Linked DNA regions of Struthio camelus. The protein of the gene in region 3 purifies or fractionates together with the protein of the main gene of each other region. This does not show direct contact. Links are inferred from orthologs where the notes say so. Each region holds a gene or a part of one and is shown on either strand. Other genes may lie near its edges. The genes, in order: AP1S2, ATG9A and AP1M1.

Region 1 (6,994 bases), on a different chromosome or scaffold from region 3:
AACATTTAAGCAAGCTTGTCTACATGTACGCACAGTAAGTTTTTGTGAGGAAATCAATAGCCAGAATAAAACTGTGCATGCTTTCTTTAAGCATGACCTTATGCACTATTACTCCTCCTTCCCTATGGATGCTTCCTTATTCTTACAAGCTTAAGAGAACTATACCCATCAGTTACATTGGTAACACTCATGTGCATGATGCTACATGCACTGATATATATATTTATATATATATATATATCTCTATCTCTATCAGATCAAGATCTAAGGGTCTAATTCTTGGAGAATAGTTACTAGCTCTTAATTTCAAGTCCAATTCTCTTTCTCTTCCCTTCAGAGAGAAGAGAGCAATATTGTACACACAGAAATTATTTACTATCTCAAAGAGAAATAAAAATGTGTAAACCTTTTAAATTTTATACATAACCAGGGAAGGGAGTTAACTCAAGGTTTCATACATCAGCTTTAGATGGAAGAGATCCATCCTAGCAAATCAGGACGAGAATAACAGTTATTTGTGCAGAAAAGTATTTTCACACGCCTACTTTGCATTACATTCTAAAAGGTCAGCATAAAGCAAAAAAGTTGTAGCCACATACCCTTAGAAAAGTTAGCAATAAGTGAGAAATGAAGCTATTGCCAAAGAAAAGTATACAGTACTTTCACCAAAAGAAAGTTAAGCATGATTTCTCAAGTTAGGAGATACTCCTTTTGTATTCATAGCAAAGAAAATCTATTTACTCAGAAATAAAAGAGTAACATTCTTACTTCTTTGAGCCTTTAAAAGTAAGTTTCAATTTGCAGCTGATTTATGAAGTCACTGTCTGAGGTAAATGTTTATAAAATTTAGTTTTTCTTTATTAGCTATTAAATCATGCATGCTTCATATTTGTACGCGTTTATTTTCTGTGGGCATCTAAGCAGAGAACACGAACCACTCCTTATTAAAGTAGAAGGAAATCTCATCCCTTTTCTTCAGTACATTTTCTAAATGCATGAGTGATTTTCCGCACATGAATGATTCCTACTTGGTTATCAAATTAGATTCAAGGAAAAACCCTCAGAACCTATACTTCTCCATAACCAGTGGGGGGCAGGGAAGGAATGGGGAAATCAACCTTTACTATTTTCTTGCTACTTATTACATTGTTCGTGATGTATGGCAATTATGAGGTTAGTGAGACAGAACAACCTTTTGTAGACAATCTTCAGGTCTCTCCACTCCAGGAAGCTGCACATTTTCGGTTTGCGGGCTAATACTGTTTGAACAAGTTCCCTTGTGATTTTCTTCTTTTCTTTGTCAGATAATGGAACATACCACTTTTGAAGTCTCAGTTTCCCCTGACGACTAAAAAGCAACATAAACTGCATCTGTTGAATTGGAAGCAGAAAAAAAGAAAGAAAGGATTAATCTCAGTCTCTTAGTTGTATAAAGATTTGTATGAGGAGAACCAAATAGGAAGCAAGATAAGGCATCCAAAGCCGCAACCACACTAAATATTTCTTAAGCAGTAGCAGATGCTACATGAGATTTGGAAATACAAATAATATAATATTCAACTAAACAAGGTTAGTCACAGCCAAGATGGAAGAAGGCATACACAAGTTTCAGAAACAGATCTCGGAGACACCGGACAGTGAATAAACCAAAATTTCAGATAAACCATGTCCAGCAGTGATATAGTTGTATTTGCACTTACTACAGACAAGGATAAAAAACAGCATAGCCGTCTCCCGAAACACCCAAACTCGTTTTCCACTGACCGGATTATAGCCTTACAACAGGAGCAATTTGCACTTAAGATCTTTCCGAAAAACCTCAGAATACTTTAAGAGGCATTAAACCTCCCAATGGAGAGTCCTACGGCACAGAAAAGCCTTGCCTCCTCTTGCATTACACAAAAGGAGTAGACATTAAGTGCTGTGCCTGCAGTCCTACCCTCCAGGTCTCGCTTCCTCTAAAGGAGTGATGTTGCAATTACATTTTAAGAGGAACTTGCCGGCTGTGTTTTCCAGCAGCTGTAACATTAAAGGAAACAGCCTTTTTTCCTTCCACCCTTTCTGCTCAAAGTTGTACAGTGCTGAGGAAGTTTCCCAGGCAATCAGCCAGGCGTGAAATACCACGAGAAAGCCCAGCCTCGCCCCGGGTGACAAGTTCCAGCAGCGCCAGCACAGACAAGGGGCAGCAGAGGCAGCCCCGAAGCCCAGCGGTGCCGGGGGGTCCCTCCGCGCGGGCCGCCCCCCCACACACACACTCCGGCCGGCACCGGCGCCACGTCCCCCCGCCGCGCCCGCCTGTCTTCAGGGGGACCCTCGCGGCTCCCGCCGTCCCCGAGCAGCCGCCGCGGCTCCTCCCCAGCCGCCAACGGTCGCGGGCGACACCAGCTCCCGTCGCCTCGCCGCGGAGACGAGGGGCGGCTACAGAGGTGCGGGCCCGCGCCGACCCGCTCTCCCCTCCCTGGGCCGGGCGGGGGGCGACGGCCGTAGGCAGCTCCGCCCGTCCCAGTCCGGGGTGCGGGGAGCGCTGCCGCCGCGGTGTGTGCGGGGAGCGGCCGCCCCGTTCCTCAGCCGTTAACGGCTTCTCCCTGGGGCAGCGCGGGGAGGGGGGGGGGGCGTCCCACAACTGGGGGCGCGGGGGAACACCTGCCCCCCCCCCCCGCCCCGTCCTGTCGCAGCCCGCAGGCAGGCTCCGCGCCCCGGCGCGGTGGGGGAGGCGAGTCCGTCCCCGCGCGGCGGTGCTCACCGTGCCCCGGGAGGGGGGGAGAGGAAGGACGAGGAGGAGGAGGAGGACGCGGCACCGCTACGGCGGTGGCTGGTGCTGCCGCCACGGCTGCCGAGCGGGACTGAGGGGAGGGGAGGGCAGATACCGCCGGCTCGAGCCCGGCGCGCGCGCGCGAGAGAGAGAGAGAGAGAGAGAAAGAGAGACTCAACGGCTACCCCCGCCCCGACCTGCCCGAGTGGGGAGGGGGGAAGGGGCGGGGCCGGGCCGGGCCGGGCTGACGGACGCCGCTCCCGGGCGGGGAACGGAGTGGGCGGGGCCAGAAGGCGCCGCCGGTTTTTCCCTCCTTTCCCCCCGCCTCCCCCGCAAACCAAACTTTATTAGCTCGCCGGCTGGCGGGAGGGGCAAGGGGAACCTGCGAGCTCAGCGCAGGCGCGGTGCAGGCACGGGTGGGGGAACGGCGGGGAGCCCGCCGCCACCCAATCGGGGAGCTCAGCGCCCGGTGATGGCCAATGAAAGGGAGGGAGAGGGCGGGGAGGGAGGAGCTGGCGCTGGTAGTGGGAGGAGCTAGGGCAAGGAAGGTGGGGTTAAAGAACTTAATCCGCGTGGCCCAAATTAGGATAGGGCAATGGCCCGCGCGGCAACAGCCAACCAGGAAGCGCAATGCAGATAGCGGTTCGCAAGCAGCCAATGAGCCGGCCAGGCACGGAGCTGGGGAAATGACATCAGTCAATCAGGAGCCCGGAGATAGAGGCTCCTCCTTCGCCCTCCCCATCCCCGAAGCCGAGAGGGGGGCGGGGGGAAAGGTGCCCGCCCGCCCGCGCGTGCGCGGCGCGGTGTTTCTTTCTAGCACGTGCGGGCCCCGCGTGGGGAGGAGAGTGGGGTGGGGGGAGGCGCGCGGGGCGGGGCGGGCGCTGGGGGGCGCTGTTGCGGGGCGAGGCGGGTGCCGCGGGCGGCCGTTAGGGGCGTGCGCGGGGGCGGTTTCCCCTGAGGAGAGGGGTGTCGGCACTGGGGCGCGGGCGCTGCCGGGGCGCGGCCGGGCCCACGGCGCGGCCGAAGCGCCCCAGTGGGGGTGGTGGGAGGGGTGCCGGGCTTCAGCAGGCGCGGTTGAATTTCCTCATCAGCCTTTCTCCCAAAGTCACCTTGATTGTGATCGCTAATTAAATTCCCAGGATTCCTCACAGTCGTATGTTTAGGGGATTGAGTTATGAAAATGCATTTTTTTTTTCATTTGTGTACAGCCAAAGAGGTTTTCCACAGCAAAACAGCTTGACTTGTTTTGGGTGGGGGTTGGTTTGTTTTAATGCTGCTAAGCTGAAAATATAAGGTGAAAATGTAGTCTGAAAGGGATTGAAAGAAACAGCTCTTTCAGCTGGAGTACATTAAAAAATCCTATAGTGACTTATATTTCTTGACACTATTGGTGCCCTTCACCTTGCCAACATTAACGATGGAAATAATCAGACAAGGTGATTTTTACCAGGTGATCTTTAAATGGCTCAACAGAGCAACTGGCAGAAAAAGGGAGTAGGATTGTGCTGCCCTCTCTACCTCTTCATTAAGAGTAGCTTCAGTCGCTCTGGGAAGTGTCATGCTTTTATTACTTTTTATTACTGACATCCTAAAAAAAAAAAAATCTATTCTTCTGGCTACAAAACAGCTGTGGCAGCAGAAACCAGCACTGGAAACGCTTTTGTGTAGAAATGTGGATAGTCTGAAAGGAAAGCCAATTTTCTGGCATTTCAAGGAATGCTATAATCAATTGTACTTGAGGAAAATTGCAGATATGTTACTTTCCCATTTTCCCATTTTATGGTACAGATTATAATTGTAAGATGAAAGTGACATGGGGAAAAGGAGACATGCGTGAAACTAAAGTGAATGAATGAGGCAATTACGGTATTAGAGTCACATAGAAAAGGAGCACTACTATTGTTGGTGCTTGTCCTCATCATATTTAATGTTTACTTAGCAGCCATCCTGTTCTCATTTGAACTTGTCTTTCGTTAAGTCCAGGAACAGATGCGTATGGATTTGTTAGCTCAGACAGTCTACTCTTTTGCCTGTGGAACTACTCTTCTGTACATTATTTTGTCCTCAGTAGTTTTAAAGTTCTCAAGCAGTGCAGCTCTGTTGGCTCCTTGTGGGGCTATTCCACAGTCTAAAATATCCTGTTGTTCAGGAAGCTTTTATAAATTCTCTCCTTAATTTACACTTTATTATTCTTCATTTTAGCTCCCTGTACTTCATGAATTCTCCATCATGAGTATATACACACTTCTAGTGTTTATAAATCTTCTAAATCATTGTATAATCCAGCACCCAACTTTCACTTCTCTTTATCTGAGCTATTTCCGCTATATTAGCATCGTTATGGTAATGGGAGCTCAGAATTGAATTTCTGAAGGAGTCACACCAGACCTGTATTATGATTTGTCACTTCCCAGCATACTGAAGTATTTCTGCATAGATCAAACCACACATTCTACAAACGCTTAGTTAATTGGAATCACTAGAACTACCCAGATGGTTCAAGAAATATATGTATTTTGGTGTCATAAAGGCAAAGTCTAAAAACTTCCCTTTTTTTTTTTTAATCCTGCCTCTTTGTTTTAAATTTTTGTCACATTTCCTGCTCAGTTTTCAGTTTATCGTTTCTTAAAATGCCAGCAGAGCACTGTTCTGTTTTTCTCCCACCTATCAATTACATGACTGGATTTCTTCTCTTTAGAATTTTTAGCCTAGAGTTTCTTACTTAAATCTCCTCTTGATCAGAATCACTCTGTTAAATGCAGTTTCAGGTGTATGATAAGGCACGTGTGAACTGTGATGTGAACTGAGGCTCACCAGGTCTATCTCAGCTGCAGTTTCTGCCCTCCTCAGCCTCCTCATTGCTGTTCCAGCTGGAGGATGCCATTTTCTCAAGCTTGCCTGTATCGCCACTGATACGATCGTTCTTTAACTCATTTCTGTCAAAATGAGACGGCTTATTTTAGGCAGTTTAAGGTGTGATTCCATGGTGGTTTCAGATTATCTAAATCACATCTTCTCCCAACCCTCTTATTCCCAGCTCCACATTGCCATCTCTTATCCTATGCTGACACAAATGGTTATGCTGCCTCTCACTTAAACAGCAGGGTATTGCTAATGAGGTTTGTTTTGGCTGTACAGGTGAGGATCAAAACTGAGTCAGTCTGAGGATCCAGTACCTCTAGCAGGAGGGCAGTGACGGAGGTAATGTTGTCCTTTCTCTTTGTGCTGTTTCTTCCAGGAACTTCAGATGACTTGCTGCTTGCAAGAGTTGCGATTTGTACTAATTATCCCTCTTTATACCCACTCCGTCTTTCTTTTCTGTAAGAAATTATGCTGTCACTTACCCATTGATCTAGCAATATACTGAACTAGCTGTAATTAACAAACTGATAAAGATACATATGATGCTTATAACAATAATATAATAGCCTTTGTGTATTCCACAAGCCCATGACAATGCAAATGTCATGCAGTCTAATTTTAGACACGACACAGTGAGTCTTCTGTTCATTAGCCTTTGTTTATTGTTTTATAACCAGCTGTAACAAGATGGATTTTAAAGAATGAGCTCAGTATTTTAGTTTCCAAACCATGAATGATAACCCCCTATTTTAATAACAGCTGTATTTTTTAACGGCTATAGTAGTAAAAGTCCTTTGTATTCCATCTTAGATTTAAAGCAAGTCTTCAGGGGATATATCCATTGACCATACAACATTTGGGGTCCCCAGCCAAGAGTTTACTCACTAGATTATTTTCAGCATGATTTGAGACACAGAAGAGAACTGCCTGGAGCTGGGGAGAGAGGAAGAAGGGAGGGAGGGAGGAAGCTTACACAAAATAAGATTAAATTTACTTGCTTTTGCCTGCTATGGTTTATGTCTGTTCTTGGGGTTTTGTTTTTTTTTTTTTCTCTCAATTAATTAGAATATATTAGGTTTGTCTGGAATGTGGGTATGAAAATTAATAAGGCAAACTACCAACATCCTGGCATCTGGCCCTTCATGCACTGTTCTAATGCCAAATGTGAAGCCCCTGATAGCTTTTTGTTGTGTTTTCATTGTTAGCCAAAATGATGGGTAAACCAAGAGGCTGTTATAACATGAACTAGTTATTAATTCCAAAGGAACAACTGATTATTGAATTTTAACAGCTTTTTTTGCAGGAAAGCAACCCAATATTTGGAAAAAAATGCTTTGCTCCCCCTCCTTTTCAACTGTCTTCACCTTCTTGAGTAGGTGG
Region 2 (7,240 bases), on a different chromosome or scaffold from region 3:
GTCTTCCCGCACAACATCCATTTCTGCTGCCCGTCGCCCCTTCTGCAAACCCTTCTGGGGGGACCTAGTGATCTCTTCCAGCGGCGTGTCCTTCCCTGGGCAACAGGGGTGCTCCCGTCATTGCCTGGTGACAGGGAGTGCTCCATGTCTCCAGGGATGTAGGGCAGGAGGTTGCCACCTCCGCTGCATGGTGCGGCATGCCTTAATGCACATGGGGTTATGTGCAAGGACCACGTCACCCCATCTGCTCTGACCCACAAGCAACAGGGCTGGGCCGGCTCACCGTACACCTGCAGGCTGGCCAGCACAGCGTGGACTCGCAGCACCTCCCGCAGGGTGGCCCTGCGGGTGCTGAGTGGGATGTGGCAGACACGGGGGTCACCCTGGGTGAGAGGAGGGTTCCTGCCGCCAAAGAGCAGCGTCCGGTTGTGGCGAGGGGCCCGGAGGAAGATGCGCCGAGCTTCCCGTAAGTGGTGCGCCCAGCCTGCCAGCAGGTCCTGGATATCCTGGGGAGGAAGGAGTGAGCACCGTGGGGTCCTGAACCGCACAGCGTGGGCAGAGACAACTCTAAAGCAGGAACCGTTTCAGGACAGAGCAGCCCCAACTGGATCCTGGCCTCCCTCTGGAGCTCACACCCCACGTGTGACTTCCAACAGCAGCTCAGTACCACCCCACAGAGCCGGCCATGACCACGTCCCCCTGCCAAGGGCCCAGTGCTGACCTCATCCTCACCCTTAGCAGCGCGGCCTCATTGTAACGCCGCAGCGAGGCTCCGGCTGACCTGGGTGCTGCAGCTGGGGTTTGGGCATCCCGTAGGCTCTGGGACGTGCCCCGCCGGGCTCGCACTGTGTAGCGGTGGAAGGTCTTGTGCTCCTGCAACTGGGGGCTGTGGAGAGTGGCAGGCATGAGCAATGAGGCCCCACGCGCAAAGGGGAGGAGAACTGATGCTTCCCAGGACCCTGGAAGAGGTGTTGCCCCTGCCAGTGCCCCATAAGCGCTTCTCTTGCAGTAAGACTGAACACAGCCAACTCTCAAGCAAAGACCCAGAGCTGCTGGTGCCCAGGGTACGTGTAAGCGCTGCGATGGAAAAATGGGAGTTGGGGGTGGGGTAGCCATCATCAATGAAGGGCCTATCCAACACCCAGCCGCACTTGTTCCTGCCCAGAAGGGTGACCCCAGGTCTGCTCCCCCATACTCACCCCTGGAAGACAGCTCCTGCGAAGTGTCCACCACCCATCATCAGCACAACCCAGCACGTGCTTGCACTGAGGCTCTGGAGCGATGCCACCAGCTCCGCTGGCTCCTCACTGCCACCCTGAGACACAGACCCTGCTGCTAGTACCTGTGGGATCACCTTACTACCTCTTGCTGTCCTGTGCGACATGGGCCAGCCCCTCTACTGGCACAGGGACAAGGGCTGCTACAGATAAAAGGGAGCAGGGTTCACCCTGTCCTACCCATACTACTGGGCTGTGCTGGGGGTCTCAGCTACTGCTTCAGCCCTGGTTTGAGCAGGGCTTTGCTCTTACAAAGGTCTGTCCAATTACAGGGAAAGACGGGAGGTTGGTCTTGCTGCTGGGAGTATCCCAGAGTCAAAAACAGATGATCAGAGAGCCTGGGGCTCTGATCTGGCACCAGAGGCCACCCTCCCCTTCCAGGGACATGGGGAACTCCCAGGCAGATGTCTACACCCCAGGGTCATCCCTCTTCTCTGGGGTCCCTCTCCCAGCAGGCTGAGTTGCGACTTGCCTTCCCAGTGCCCAGCACGCAGCGGTAAGCAGAGATGAGCTGGCCCTTTCCGTTCCTGAAAAGCACCTTGTGGGAGCGGAGGACCTGGGAGGTCTCAGCACTATTGCTGACAGGGGGCAGTGACTGTGACTCACTGCTTGAATCGGAGCTCTCCAGATCAGACCCTGAGATGCTGGAAACATCGCCTGCAAGGAAGAGGAAGTGGGGCAGTGGAGCCGGGCAGAGATCAATCCACAGCTGTCCCCAACTTTGCAGATAGCTCCAAGGGCTGACTCGGAGCCCCAGAAACGTCCTGTCCAACACCTTACACCGTCACAAGGGGGCTGTAGGCTGGGGAGAGATCCGTCTGGGGCTATAGATCCCAAGTACAGACAGACAGGGGCTCAGTGGAACGTACCTCCCTCCCAACAAGTCAAAAGGTTCAAGGCCCAGGAGCAGAGCCAGGACCCCCAGGAGACTCTATCAGGGCAGAACAAAAGGACCCTAAACAAGCAGGGACAGCTGGAGGCTCACGTCCCCAGCTTGGGCTGGACAGCCCGGTGGCCTCTGGGCCCTGCTGGGGGCAGCGCCATCGCTCACCTGCGCAGGTCTTCTCTTCAAACCCCTCTGCTGGCAGTGCTGGGCGCCCCAGGAGCCGCTGCTTCAAGTTGAAGCGGTGCCAATCGAGACGGTAATGCTCAGTCTGGGGAAGAAAGAGGGTGAGGGGGGTCCAGCAGGGTACACAGGCCCTTAGGCAGGGATGCAGGCAATGGGGCGCCAAAGAGCAGCCAGCACTGTGCTGCGTAGCCGTGGGGCCGAGTCTCCGCAGCAGGACCCTGCAAGCTGTGCCAGAACTGCTCAGCGCTGCCACTGCTGATGCTGGCAGCTCGGCCTCGGCTCACCTGCTCCTCCCGGCTGTCAAACGCCTGCGCACAGGTCAAGCAGTACATCCGCTCGGGCACCTCAGGGACCCCGTGGGCTCTCTCCTCACCACCAGCAGCTGCGCGTTTCTCTAGAAGAAGAAGTAAGAGCTGAGCCACAGGCAGCTATTCATGCAGCACCACTGCAAGGGCTGAACAAGGAGCAGGGACTGCTGGGTCTTCTCTTGGCCACACACAATCCTGGGCACCCAAATAACACTACGGCAGTAGGAGGAATTTCAGAGACCTTGGAGGGACAACTATAGGTCCACACAAAACACGTTTAACCATTCACCCTGCAGCTCTCACAGCACCAAGCTCCAAGTAGGCACCCAAGCTGTATTGCAGAGTACGAAATCCTCTTCTCGTGGTCTGGGGCAGAGAGATATGAGCTTGGCCCAATAACCCCCTCATGCTACTTCTCTGCTCCCCTGGAGCTAAACCCACCATGGTTTACAGGCCTCGGGTCTGTGACCGATGCATCCACCGAAAACCCAGTGACAAGGGACAGCCCATACACGAAGGCGGGGTCCTGGGCAGCCTCGAAAATGGATCTGTTCTCTGGGGCAGGCATTGCTGCTGCTCCTGATCAGAGGGGATAGCGCTGAGGGTGAGCAACAGCCCTGTCTCCAGGACGCTTCCCAGCTGGAGGAGGGCATGGGAGGGGGGTGCAGAGGGCACAGAGGACAAGGACAAGGGAATTTCCAAACCCAGAAGCACCAGCAAGGCTGGGACCCCAAAGCCTTCTTCAGCCTCTTCCCCCCCGGGGGATCCCAACAACTCCAACAGGTGGTGCCCCCCAAAAGGAATCCTGTGCCCTCCCCCACAGTGGCCAGTGTTTCCCTCCTCAGGACCCTGGTTTGACCTCCCGGGATCCCCCTCTGCCTCTGGCGATCCTTGTTCTCCCACAGCCAGTGCTCACCACCACAGAGCGTCCCTGCCCCATGGCACCTCCCCACCACAGGGTATCCCTGCTCCATGGCACCCCCATCCCTCTCCCCCTGTGGCCGTTCACGCCCTGGCGGGAATGTCTCTCTGGGAATCCCCCAAAGGGAAATTATTCCCTCCGGGATCCACCCCCTGGATGTCCCCCCAGGCTCTTACCCGCTCTCCGGGATCCCCCCTCCCCGCAGCTCCTAAGCCCTTTTTTCCCCTGGGGATTCTTCCCGTGGCCATTACTCCTCACCCGGCGTCCCTCTCCCCCCCGGGTCCCTCTCCCCCGCGGCCGGTCCCTCCGGGTCCCTCCCCCCCGGGTCCCTCTCCCCCCGGGTCCCTCTCCCCCCGGACCTCTCTCCCCCCGGGTCCCTCCCCCCCCCGCGGCCGGTCCCCCCGGTAACCGGCCTCGCGCACCGCCACGCACGCGCCGCCCCCTGCCCGCTGTCCACCCCGGCGGCCCCGCCCCGGAAGCGCCCCTCAGCTGCCTTACGCCACATCCGGCCCTCCGACGGGAAGCCGCTAGGCTCAGCCCAGCCTCCGGGCCGCCTGCCTTCCGATTGGCCGTCGCCGGCCCCGCCCCGCGGCTTCGATTGGGCAGCGCGGCCGCCAGTCGCGGGGCGGGCGGGGCCGGGGCCGGGGCCGGGCCGGAGCGGGGGGCCGGGGCGGCGGCGCGGGGGCCCCGCCATGGCCCACTTCGAGACGCAGTACCAGCGCCTGGAGAGCTCCTCCACCGAGTCCCCCCCCGGCGGCGGGGACCTGCTCGTCCACGTCCCCGAGGGCGCCAAGTGTGAGCGGCGGCGCTGGGACCGGCACCGGGCGTTGGGGCCTGTGACGGGGCCTGGGCACCGGGGGGCGAGGCGGGGGCGAGGCCGCGGCCTGAGAGCGGCAGAGGCTCTGGGCCCCGGGAAGGGGCCGGCAGAGGGACTAGGGACCGGGGGGCGGGGACTGAGAGCGGCGGAGGGCTGGGGGCCGGCCGGCCGGCGGGGCGGGCTCTCCCGGGGAGCTTGAGGCTGGGCAGCTCGGGGGACCTGGGGGCTTTGAGGTGAAGGGGGAGGACCCGGGCTGGCCCTGGGGGCTGGGGATCAGCGGGGCAACCAAGGGCCAAGGGGGGGTCTGGGAGTTGGAAGAGAGAGCCTGGGGGGAGCCAGGGATGGGGGGTTTGTGGGGCTGGGTCGGGTGCCCGGGAGGGAGACCCGGAGAGGGGGGAAGAGGGGGTTGTGTGTGTTGCGGGAGGTAGGTCAGGTGCGCCAGAGGCACTCTCACCCTGCGTTTCTCCTTCCTTCAGCTCCATGGCATCATATAGAGAACCTGGACCTTTTCTTCTCTCGTATATCCTTCCACAACATGCACACTGTGTTGAGAGGGCATGCGCTCCCCCTGCCTTGTGCTGTGCTCCCCATGCTGGCAGAGGTGCTTGGTTTGGCATAACTGGGGGTCCAGGCAGCATCTGCTCCTTTGCTTAGGACACTTCGTGCTTCCAGAAAGGCTGGGGAAAGGTGGAGCCCCTGTGCTTATGGGATGCAGTGGCTAGTAAGTGCAATTTTGCCTGTCTCTGTATTGCCCTGTGCCTGAGATCTTTCCCTGCTGCCTGCCCGCCCATCCCTTGTGCAGCCTGAGGGCAGGCTGAGTTTCTGTTCTCTTCCTGGGCCAAATCTACTTCTGGGGGAAGAAGGGGGTTTGGGTCAAGCCGGGTCCTCTTATTCCAGCTGTGCTATACCTGGAAGGAGTGTGTTTCCCTTCAGCGGAGTACCAGCTTGCTGGTGAATAGAGATGGGAGGGGGTTTCCATCGCTGGTAGCGGATGGTGGTGGGACGGGAGGTCTTTCAGGTCACCCTTTGTCAGAGGGGAAAGCTTTCCAGTCTGTTCTCCTTGACTGTAGCGCTCACGTCTATAATCTGCATCAGAAGAATGGCTTCACCTGCATGCTCATCGGGGAGATCTTTGAGCTTATGTAAGTGCAGGCTCTTGTGCCTTGTAGGCTGTTGAGGCTGTGACGGGAAGCTGGGGAATGGCTGTGGGAGTGTCACGAGCCATTCCAGACAGGTGGGCAGGAGGGTGTCCTTCTCAGATGTCCTGTCCACCTTTCATTAGGGTTGTCCATGCCCAAACCCATATGCCACTTTGAGGAGGTGGTGCTATGAGCTTTCCTGGCACCATGGCTGTGGGGCTGCCTGACTTGCAGCTCTTGTCTGCCATGCCTCTGGGCGGGAGGTGGATGAGGTGACTCCTTCATGGCTGCTCCCTGTCTTTGCAGGCAGTTCATCTTTGTGGTGGCGTTCACCACCTTTCTTATCAGCTGCGTCGATTATGACATTCTCTTTGCCAACAAAGCAGTAAATCACAGCCAGCACCCAAGTGAGCCTATTAAGGTGACGCTGCCAGATGCCTTCCTGCCTCCACATGTCTGCAGTGCAAGGTAGGAGCAGCTGAGGGCACGTTAGTCACTGCTCTTGCTTTCTCAGGTACTAAGGGCTCCTGTCCAGGGCTTGACTCCAGCCATCTTCCTCTTCTTGCCTGCAGAATCCAGGCAAACAGCTTCCTCATCTGCATCCTGGTGATAGCTGGGGTTTTCTGGATCCACCGACTCATCAAATTTATCTATAACATTTGCTGCTACTGGGAAATTCACTCCTTCTACATCAACGCCCTCAGAATCCCCATGGTAAGTAGCTGGGCTGAGGGCCCTATGCAGGGATGCAGAGGAAAACAAGAGGTCCTTGCTGTGCAGTGAGAAGCAGTTCACCTCCACCCCCCTCTGGAGCCAGCTTCTTCACGAGTCTTGTGCCAAGTGCTCTTCCTTCTCCTCCAGCTCTTCCCAGGGTTACATAACCGTGTTGATCTCCTTTCAGCTTTTCCAGCAGCCAACTTGCTGCACGTTAACTCTTCTCTGCCTAGCCTGTCAATGTGTGTGCTGGCATGTGCATCTGCCATCTGCCACCCAATATGTTTATTTTTATCTGTGATGGCCTTTTCTGTGATGCGTTTCAACAGCAAAGGCATAAGCAAGGGTATTCTCATACCTCCTGGGAGGCGAGTAGAATCGTCTTCTGTCTTTATTGATGAAGAAACTGAGGCATAGAGCTACTTAGTTGGTGAAGAGCATGCTGGAGATCTGTGCCAGAGATGGGATTTGAGGCTTACACCTACAACCTGCTGCTAGATCTTCTCCTCTGTGTGAGGACGTCAGAGGGTGTGTGTGCTTCCTTTTAGGAGAGGCTGTTGAGAAAGATGGGCTGAACCAAAAGGCTTGGTTTGTCCCCAGCTTTGCCGCAGGCTGCTTCTGGGACAATGGTCAAGTCCCTTTCCCTGTCCCTACTTCCCTTCCGACTCCAAGCATTAGGTATGCTTTCCAGCTTCCCAGCTCTGAGAGGAAAGGAGAGCTCACGTGAACCTGGGGCTGTATTCGTGCCTCCAAGATAGCTGGTGTGTGAGTGGGTGGGAAACAGTCATCTGCACTAGTCCAGGGGTAGAGGGCACCGGGGCAAGGTATGGGGTTTGCCTGCCACAGGCTGAAGCAATGTGGAAAGGTGCCTTGTGTTGCGTGTGCTTCACTGGTACCCCAGGAGGGTGTGCTGGGACCCGCTGTTAGAGCAGGGTGCAGCCCGACCTCTGTCCCCAGACACAACCTGCCTCTAACCTTGCTGCTTCCCCCTTCC
Region 3 (7,851 bases):
TCGCACAAAAGACCCGATGTGGTTTTCTACACTGGCAAAGGGAGCAGTTTATCTTCTAAGAACAAATCCTTTCACCTGACCCTCAAGCATTTCAAAGTCTAAGAATTCAGACAACATTCTCGATGATTACAGAGGTATCATTGAAATACTCACGGCCTGTATTATCAAAGAGAACTTTGTCATTTAAACCAAGGCGAAGCTCTGGCATTCCTGAGAGAAAGACTCTCATTTTAATGGATCCAACAATCTCACTCCGTAATACATTTCCATTGGCACTGACCTGAGGAGCAAGGAAAAGAAAGGTCAGAATGCCCTGATGTCATATGTCACGAGATCAAACAACACTCCGCCAGCCATCCCAATTTTCTTGGATTTCTTTCTCCTGAGAAGTCATGGAGTAGAATCAGGGAGGTGATGAGGACAGATGGAAGGAGAAGGAGCAAAGAACATGTCAGAGGCTAGCCTCAGACTGGTCAGAAACAAGATACATCCAAGTAAAGTACTATTCATCTACTGGGTGCTTTTATGCATACTCAGTCTTAAGACACACAGATTGTTTTAAGCATCACAGTGCACCCAGCCACAGTTAGTTTGACTCTCTATTGTACCCTTGCAGGCCTTGTAAGCTCTTTATAACACTTACTACTACAACTCTCAGTAAAAGTTCAAGAAAAAGGTACCCACCAGAAGGTTAACAGATTCTATAACATCCAGGAACACCTCATTTTTCCTATATTTTATCCCTTCTGATCTCCATGAAACAGCATTAGTAACAGTGGCAGGTGGACGGGGAGCTCCAGTTTCAAGTTTGTGACCTTCCTGAGTGATATACCTTTACAAACACATAATGGAGATAGAAAACATGAAAATTACACTTTACAGCTTTTGAAGCATCTTTAACGTCAGATTTACATAAAAGAAGTTTGAAGCTACAAACCTAAATCTTAGGAAGTATTTGATTTTTTAGCGAATAGATCAAGCCAAAACATTGGTTTGTATGTTGCAGAATACTCAAAGCTACCTAAGAAATCTGTCACTGAAAGTGAGGCAGACTGTTACTTACTCTTGTAAAATTTTACTATCAGTGGTTTGTGGATAACCAAAATCCATAAGTTCATCTAATAACTCATAAATAATAACAAAATTATCCCGAATGCTCTCTTCTTCCAGCTCCTTAAAATATTCAGAAAAAACCTGAAACAACAGTCAGAGAAAGGAAGTGAAGGAGGAGGGTATTAATTGAGGAACAACAGCATATTCACAATGCATACTTGCTAAAACACACCTCATTTAAAAGGGAGCTACAGCATCTTAGGCATACCTCTGACTATTATGAAAAATACTTATTCCAGTGAAAGTATTTTTCACGCCAAGTACAGATAAACCAAACATAAAACCTGCATTTTATGACACTATGCACGCACCAAATTCCTAATCCTCCTCTGTGTTCTCAGGTCTTACGCGACTACTCACAACATTGTGTCACATCCTTTGCCTACTCAGCTACCCGTTCTATTATTAGCCATTAGAAAGACATTTCTATAATATAACCAAAAACAAATTAAAAGTGCTATTACCACAGTGCTCTTTTTAAAAGAGTGAAAGTTCTACGCACTTTTATTTAGATCAGATTTAGATTTAATTGAAAATAGGCAGAAGTTAGTTTTAAAATTTCATACTCACCTGAACTACTTTATACAGAAATGAAAACACCAGTGATACACAAGCATTTTTCTTAGAAGTTGCAACAACTGATAAAGGATGTTCAGGAATATGCATTCAAAATTACCATTCGAAAGATTTTTTTACCAAGTGCATTTTCAAAGTTATGGTATGGCAATTACAGTTGGCCAAAACATTAAGATTTAGTTAACAGTATCTCTCGTCACGTTAGATGAGAAGATTCAGACTTAGTTTATTAGAGTAAAATTAATATAAATACTTTCCTATGCACTGTGCTACTAGTGCACACTACACTATCTAAGCCATAAAGCCATTTTATTTAATAAAGTCTTCCTTATACAACTTCACCTATTCTCTAGCTTTGCATGTAGATATAAACTGTGAAAATAACATATCAGCAATTAACATCAGCGTATGTAAATGACTTGCAATATAAAGGATACGATATAGGTTGTTATGTTTAATCCACATAAAACGAACTCCTCCGTGTGCTAGAATAGGAGAAAGCGTCCCCTCTTCTTCCTTCTCCATAAGGATTGGCATAAAATGCTCCACCTCTGACATGTCCACATCGCCGCGGTAATTTCGACAGATGAGAACCTACACAAAGAACAACAAAGCCTTTAATCTTTTTCTCTTTCTACAGGTGATGCTACCATCCAGAAGCAACACAAACGAATCCTCGGAAAGCCTCTTTAAGTAACTTGAGAGACATCAGTTGGTTTCACCCTAGCCACTCTGCAGACTATACGTGCAAGGTACAACTCCAAAATACTTTGTGGACTACAGTGCAAGCACTAGTTTTCCATTGAGAAGTCATGCATTAATGTTTTCTAGACTCACTCTCCCCCTATGGCAGCACACACCCTGGTAACAGCTTTTAAGATGGGGAAAGCACCTAAATCGGAGGAGATAAACGACCTCCAGTTACAGCAGAGCGTGATTACCCCAGACGGGATGCCCAGGAGCCCAGCTGGCAGGTGGGACAGCCGCAAACCTCCCCCCCCCCAGCGTCTCTAACGGCCCAGGACAGACCCAAGCCACCACTGCCCCCCTCGCAGCCCAGCAGTGAAACCGGCGCTGAGGGGCCCGCGGCCCCCACAGGCCCCAGCAGCAGCCGGGCCGAGGCCGGCGGCGCCCCGCAGGCCCCCTCAGCGGCGCGGGGAAGGACCCCGCAGGCCTTCCCACCCCGTCTAACCCTCGGCTGGCCCCGGGCCTCACCTTCCCCTTGAGGTCCAGCACGTAGACGGCGCTGGCCGACATCGCGCCGCCGCCGCCCGGGCCGCCCCGTCTCCGGACCGACCGACCGACTTCCGCCTCCCGCGCCGGCACTTCCGGCAGGAAGCGGCGCAACGAGGCCCGGCCGCCGCGAGGAGGGATACGAGCGCAGCGCCCGGCCGCCGCGGCGGAAGGACACCGCGCTGCCCGCGCGTCGCCTAAATAGGGCCCTGGGGGTGGCTGGGTTCAGACCTCTCTGGAAATGGGTCCGCCGCTCAGTAGATGGCCCCGGGGGTTGGGTTGGGCAGGAGTAACACCCAGGTGAGGGGCTGCAGGCCACGGGGTGGAAGCTGGTGGCCAACCCAGCCGTGGCAGGCCAACCTCGTTTTTAAGAGGCAGGTTGGAGTTTTGAACATCATCCCTCGGAAGAGAGTCGGAATTGTGCACAAAAGATAGAAATCGCAGGAAAAAGGCCCCATGCAAACACCTGTTTTATCACTGTGCTGCCCTTACCTCTTTGTACAGGTCACCAAACACCAAAAAAAAAAAAAAAAAAAGCATTTTAATGAGAAGTTACATCAGAGTTACAAGAGGATTTTAAAATACAGCAGAACCCACCCTGAGCTCTGAAAGAACTCTAGGTGCAAACAACTGATACCATTCCTATAATTTACAAGCAAAGCTAAGTGAAGAGACTGTCCGAGATTCTTCCGTTCCAAGAAGGAGAACAGTTAGTATCAAACTAATATAGAAACATTTTCCAGCTGGCTCCTACCAATTGCTTTTGGACTCAGCCATGCTTCGAGCTCTAAGAAAACAGCCCACTGCACCTATATAAACCAGAGCTTTCACTAGCGAAGAGGAGGCTTAGTTGACTACTTGGTGTAAAAGACAAAAACAGTGAAATAAGACAGCGCAAGGTCACAAACGTTCAGAAGATATATTAAACATTCAATACCGAGAATACACGGATTTACATAGCGACCCCTGTTCGATACAAACACAACTCCAAAGCCTTGTAAGAAAACCGCCCCTTCACTTCGTCCAGCTGACTTTAGGAATGTCGTAGTGCTCCGTCAGAGTATCCAAGTGCCTGTTAAAGTCCTAGGGGAGAGGAAGAGAGCGAAAACATGAAACGTCTGATGATTTCGCTAACGCCGAGGCGCGCCAGGGCCCCGCTGCCTCCCACCTTGGGGGCTTCACAGAGGCAAAAGGGCTCCTCCGGGCCCGCGCCATCCTCTGTGCTGACAAACACACGCTGGTCGCAGTAAGGAGTGAATTTAGTTCTCACCTCCACTCGCTGTTTATGGGTTTTAGACGCTTTCTTCAGGATCCTCTCCATTTGCTGTGGGGGGGGGGGGACACAGGAGAGGCGGTTACTTCCCCGCGCTCGTCGCCCCCTCAGGGGCTGCCTCGGGGGGCCCGTTTGGGCCTTTCAAGCCCCAGCCCGAGCCGCCGGGCCGGATTTAACCCCGGCCCGGGTCGCCCTACCCGCTTCTCCTGCATCTTCTCGTAGGCCACTTGCGCCGGCGTCCGCTTGTCCAGGCCGCGCTTCTTCTCCTCCTCCTGCTTCTTGCTGCTCACGATCTGCTCCAGGATCTGGCCCTTCGCCTTCGCCTTCTTCTTCTTCCTGCGGGCACAAGGCGGTCAGCGCCGAGCCTCCCCCCAACCCCGGCCCCCTCCTCCTCCTCCGCCGCCCCTCACCGCTTGCCGGCGCCCAGGGCGCCGCCGCTGCCCTTCAGCCGCAGCGGCCCGCGCTGCACCGCCTCGTAGTCCGCCATGGCCCGCGCAGCGCCGCCGCCGCCGCTCCCGCACTGCGGCGCCCCCTGGCGGCCGCCGCAACGTTGCCCCGGCAACGGCCGCGCGGGAGGCCGGGCGCCAGGAGCGACTCCCCCTTTTTCTGTGAGGAGAAAACCGTTAGGAGCCGCCCCGAGGGCGCCGCGCAGAAGCGCCGCTGAGGAAACCTCCTCCCGCCGCCGCCTATTTTCCACACCCAACGGACCGATTCTGAATAATTTTTACTGATTTCAAGGCGGGGCGGTGAGTGAGAGGCCGGCGTTTCTCCTCCCCCGAGGCGGGAGGATAGTTTTGCCTTTCCGGGGTCTCCACCTCACAGATGCATCCTCCAAACCAGGCGTCAGGGCTTCGTTTGCTGCTAAAGCTGCCAATTTACTGGATGAACGGCCGAGAAGGAAGGTTTTACGCCTTGCCCCCTGAACATGTATTATTATGCAGCCTGCTACGTGCCATAGAAATGCAGTCAGTTATTCCCTCGACCCTTAAGTTTCATATTTCATGTAACCTTTAACATCACATATCGGTTTTTATAGACAAATCATATATTGACATGTATTTTAGTGTAAAAACCACATATGTCTATATGTATGCATGCCACACTAATAACCATTAAATAGTGATAATGTATATTACTAGATAATGCAGAATAGAGTGATTGGGCTTTATAGATACTATCTCCAGTACAAACTGCCATGTGCTGTCTGTGGGCAGTGTACAGTAAATATTATAGAGAAAATTCAGAAAGAAAGGACGGGGGTGGGGGGGTTACTTTCATTATTACTTACTTCTAGTATTTAATGCTAATTCTTAGAGAAGACAGACATTCCAAACAGTTTTTAGGTCTTTTAAAATATTTGAAAGAATGAAAAAAAAACAAAAAAAAGCAATCTACAAGGTCTACTTACCATTTCAAAGACACGACCAAGAAGCTATTAGTTGTTTGTCCAAATACTGTAATATGAGTCTTTGTTGTGCACACAGGAGACAGGTGAGTGATGCTGGGTAAGAGCCTTAAGTAGCCAAACTAAAGATTAGATGAAATGCTCCTATTATGATTCTTTGTAGCCCATGCAATAGGGAAGCTGGTTACTTGATCCTCTGCTACCTGAACCTCATTGTTGCAGCTTTTAATGTCTGAATATCCAGACCTCCTATAAAGGTAACTTTGAGGAAAGAATGATGGGACAAGAACCAGCCTTCAGAGCCAGAAATGGGCAACAAGCAAACCATTTTCACTCCAGAGCAACTGGATGCATATCAGGTATAAAACAATGCCAAACTAAATGGCTATTTAGACAGCACATTGAATAAGGATGTGTTTTTAAAACAATCTTTTCAAAAATTGTTAAGTGTGGGTATTGTTACATCAAAGGTTTAAGTAACATAGTTTAATTTTGCCTCAAGAGGAAGAAGGGTTATGAAATAATCATTATTATAATGCCAAGAAAAGAACATTAATGCTTGGCCACTTGCATTACAATATGAGTGTTTAAGTCACTGTAGTGGAAAAGTTTGGGCCAATGCATTTAAAACTATCATTGCATATTATCTTTTCTCTTATTTCACAGGACTGCACATTCTTTACAAGGAAAGAAATTCTGAGGTGAGTCTTGTGTGTGCGTTTTGTGTGTAAGGTACAGAGATTGCTATAAAGGCAGGCTACATATGAGGTGGTTTTTAAAATATTTTAAAAATGTATTTATGCAAAATTAATGTGATAGAGGACAGAACAACTCCACATACCTTTGGACAATGTGACCCTCACTGTTGCTTTTTTATATACAGAAAGTACATCATTTGTCATGAACTGAGCCAGATCTCTAAATTTTTATTAAGGTACCAGTCTCTCTGTGTGAAATAAATGTAACAATTTATGTTTTACTGTACGCCTTCAGTGACATTCATGTTCCCTCACTTTGTTCCATAACAAATGCTTCAAAGTATGCTGTTATAGTGTGGGATACTTTGCCTATTTTATAAAATCAGTAATGTCTATATCAAATTTTATTCAGATTTTTCATCTCTTGATGTAAATAATTAGTCCTGGAAAACTGTTCTGCTTTGATACTGTAAGGTGCACTTTTCCCAAAGCCTTCATGGGCCTCATGGACCAATCCACTTAATATCTGTCCAAAGGAAGTGATAAAGACAGGTTCCCTACTTTGTTGATGTGGAATTGAGTCTTCACTGCAAACTTGAACTTGTTCTCCTCTTGTTGTAAATTGTACTTTCACAGATAATAACACACATAATAGCAAGGTTGCATTGCCTTTGCTAACCATTGGGCAAATTAACGGAAAGATAAAGGCAAAGTATCTGCATCTCTCAAGAGATCATTCCACGTTACTTGCTAATTTCTCTGAAAGACAGAGCACACGTGGCAATTTTATATGGAACGCATCCCTGATTAGAACCTCAGTACAAAATGACAAATGATTCTGTAATATGTGAAATGTAAAGCTGTCTGCCTTTCCGTGTAGTAAATAGAGGCCAGAACCATAACTGTATCATGAATAAGACATTTATTATTGATAGGGATCCCTTTTAACATTCTGTGCTATTGTTTTGTTGACAACAGCTGTGAACAGGATCCTTAGCCTAGTACAAGAACTGAAGAAAATAGCGTGGTGAAAAAGTAAAAAACTCATTCAAATGATTATGTGCATACTTTCTGTCTCCTGAACCTAGTTCTACAAAAAAAAAAAAAAAAAAAACACAGAAAAATACTTGGGGTGGGTGAAAGTATCCTAGGGTTGGTCGCAGATTCAAGAGCTCAATCTCTCTGGCTTTAGGCATCCAGATTTTTTTTTTCTTATGTTCACACCAAATCTTTCATGCTGCAGTGTAAACCTATTATTTCTAATCACATTCATCATTGACTTGGAAAACAGATCCCTCTTGCCTGACAACAACTTTTTATGTATTTGAAAACTGATTAGGTGGACCTTCAGGTTGAAGGTCTTGTGCCTTGTTATCATAAATTCATAAATCATAAATACACTACATGCCTCTATAGCATTGTCTGCACTATTGAAGTAAATCTGAAACTTTGGTGGTGGTTGTGGTGGGGTGGGGGGGACCCAATCCCTCTCCTCTTCCATTTTCAGATACTCTGTGTCTGGTGGCTTGGCTGCCTGACCTGTATACCTGTTA

What was found.
Region 1: the proteins of AP1M1 (region 3) and AP1S2 fractionate together in Homo sapiens (co-fractionation; 6 studies listed by BioGRID and IntAct, counting the BioPlex papers as one, with this or other methods). This does not show direct contact. The link is inferred for Struthio camelus from reciprocal best matches to the Homo sapiens genes AP1M1 and AP1S2.
Region 2: the proteins of AP1M1 (region 3) and ATG9A purify together in Homo sapiens (affinity purification with western blotting, with the first as the bait; 3 studies listed by BioGRID). This does not show direct contact. The link is inferred for Struthio camelus from reciprocal best matches to the Homo sapiens genes AP1M1 and ATG9A.

What each region holds. Positions count from the first base shown.
Region 1 is NC_090942.1:139,270,971-139,277,964, reverse strand, and holds the start of AP1S2 (AP-1 complex subunit sigma-2), read right to left. Parts: upstream 3,075-6,994; 5' UTR 2,744-3,074; intron 1,372-2,743; coding exon 1,193-1,371; intron 1-1,192. UniProt on the Homo sapiens protein: Subunit of clathrin-associated adaptor protein complex 1 that plays a role in protein sorting in the late-Golgi/trans-Golgi network (TGN) and/or endosomes.
Region 2 is NC_090947.1:28,034,092-28,041,331, forward strand, and holds the start of ATG9A (autophagy-related protein 9A), read left to right. Parts: upstream 1-4,225; 5' UTR 4,226-4,268; coding exon of another isoform or gene 4,269-4,371; intron 4,372-4,869; coding exon of another isoform or gene 4,870-4,913; 5' UTR 4,914-4,950; coding exon 4,951-5,114; intron 5,115-5,463; coding exon 5,464-5,535; intron 5,536-5,838; coding exon 5,839-6,000; intron 6,001-6,046; coding exon of another isoform or gene 6,047-6,104; coding exon 6,105-6,246; intron 6,247-7,240. Other genes in the region: tRNA endonuclease ANKZF1, read right to left, coding at 1-90, 284-506, 722-886, 1,200-1,315, 1,750-1,934, 2,329-2,431, 2,631-2,740, 3,096-3,222. UniProt on the Homo sapiens protein: Phospholipid scramblase involved in autophagy by mediating autophagosomal membrane expansion. Cycles between the preautophagosomal structure/phagophore assembly site (PAS) and the cytoplasmic vesicle pool and supplies membrane for the growing autophagosome.
Region 3 is NC_090967.1:5,185,567-5,193,417, reverse strand, and holds the start of AP1M1 (AP-1 complex subunit mu-1), read right to left. Parts: upstream 3,050-7,851; 5' UTR 2,947-3,049; coding exon 2,905-2,946; intron 2,284-2,904; coding exon 2,127-2,283; intron 1,752-2,126; coding exon 1,684-1,751; intron 1,195-1,683; coding exon 1,064-1,194; intron 833-1,063; coding exon 685-832; intron 281-684; coding exon 154-280; intron 1-153. Other genes in the region: protein FAM32A, read right to left, coding at 3,937-4,005, 4,193-4,246, 4,393-4,531, 4,606-4,682; CIB3 (calcium and integrin-binding family member 3), read left to right, coding at 5,909-5,959, 6,267-6,301. UniProt on the Homo sapiens protein: Subunit of clathrin-associated adaptor protein complex 1 that plays a role in protein sorting in the trans-Golgi network (TGN) and endosomes.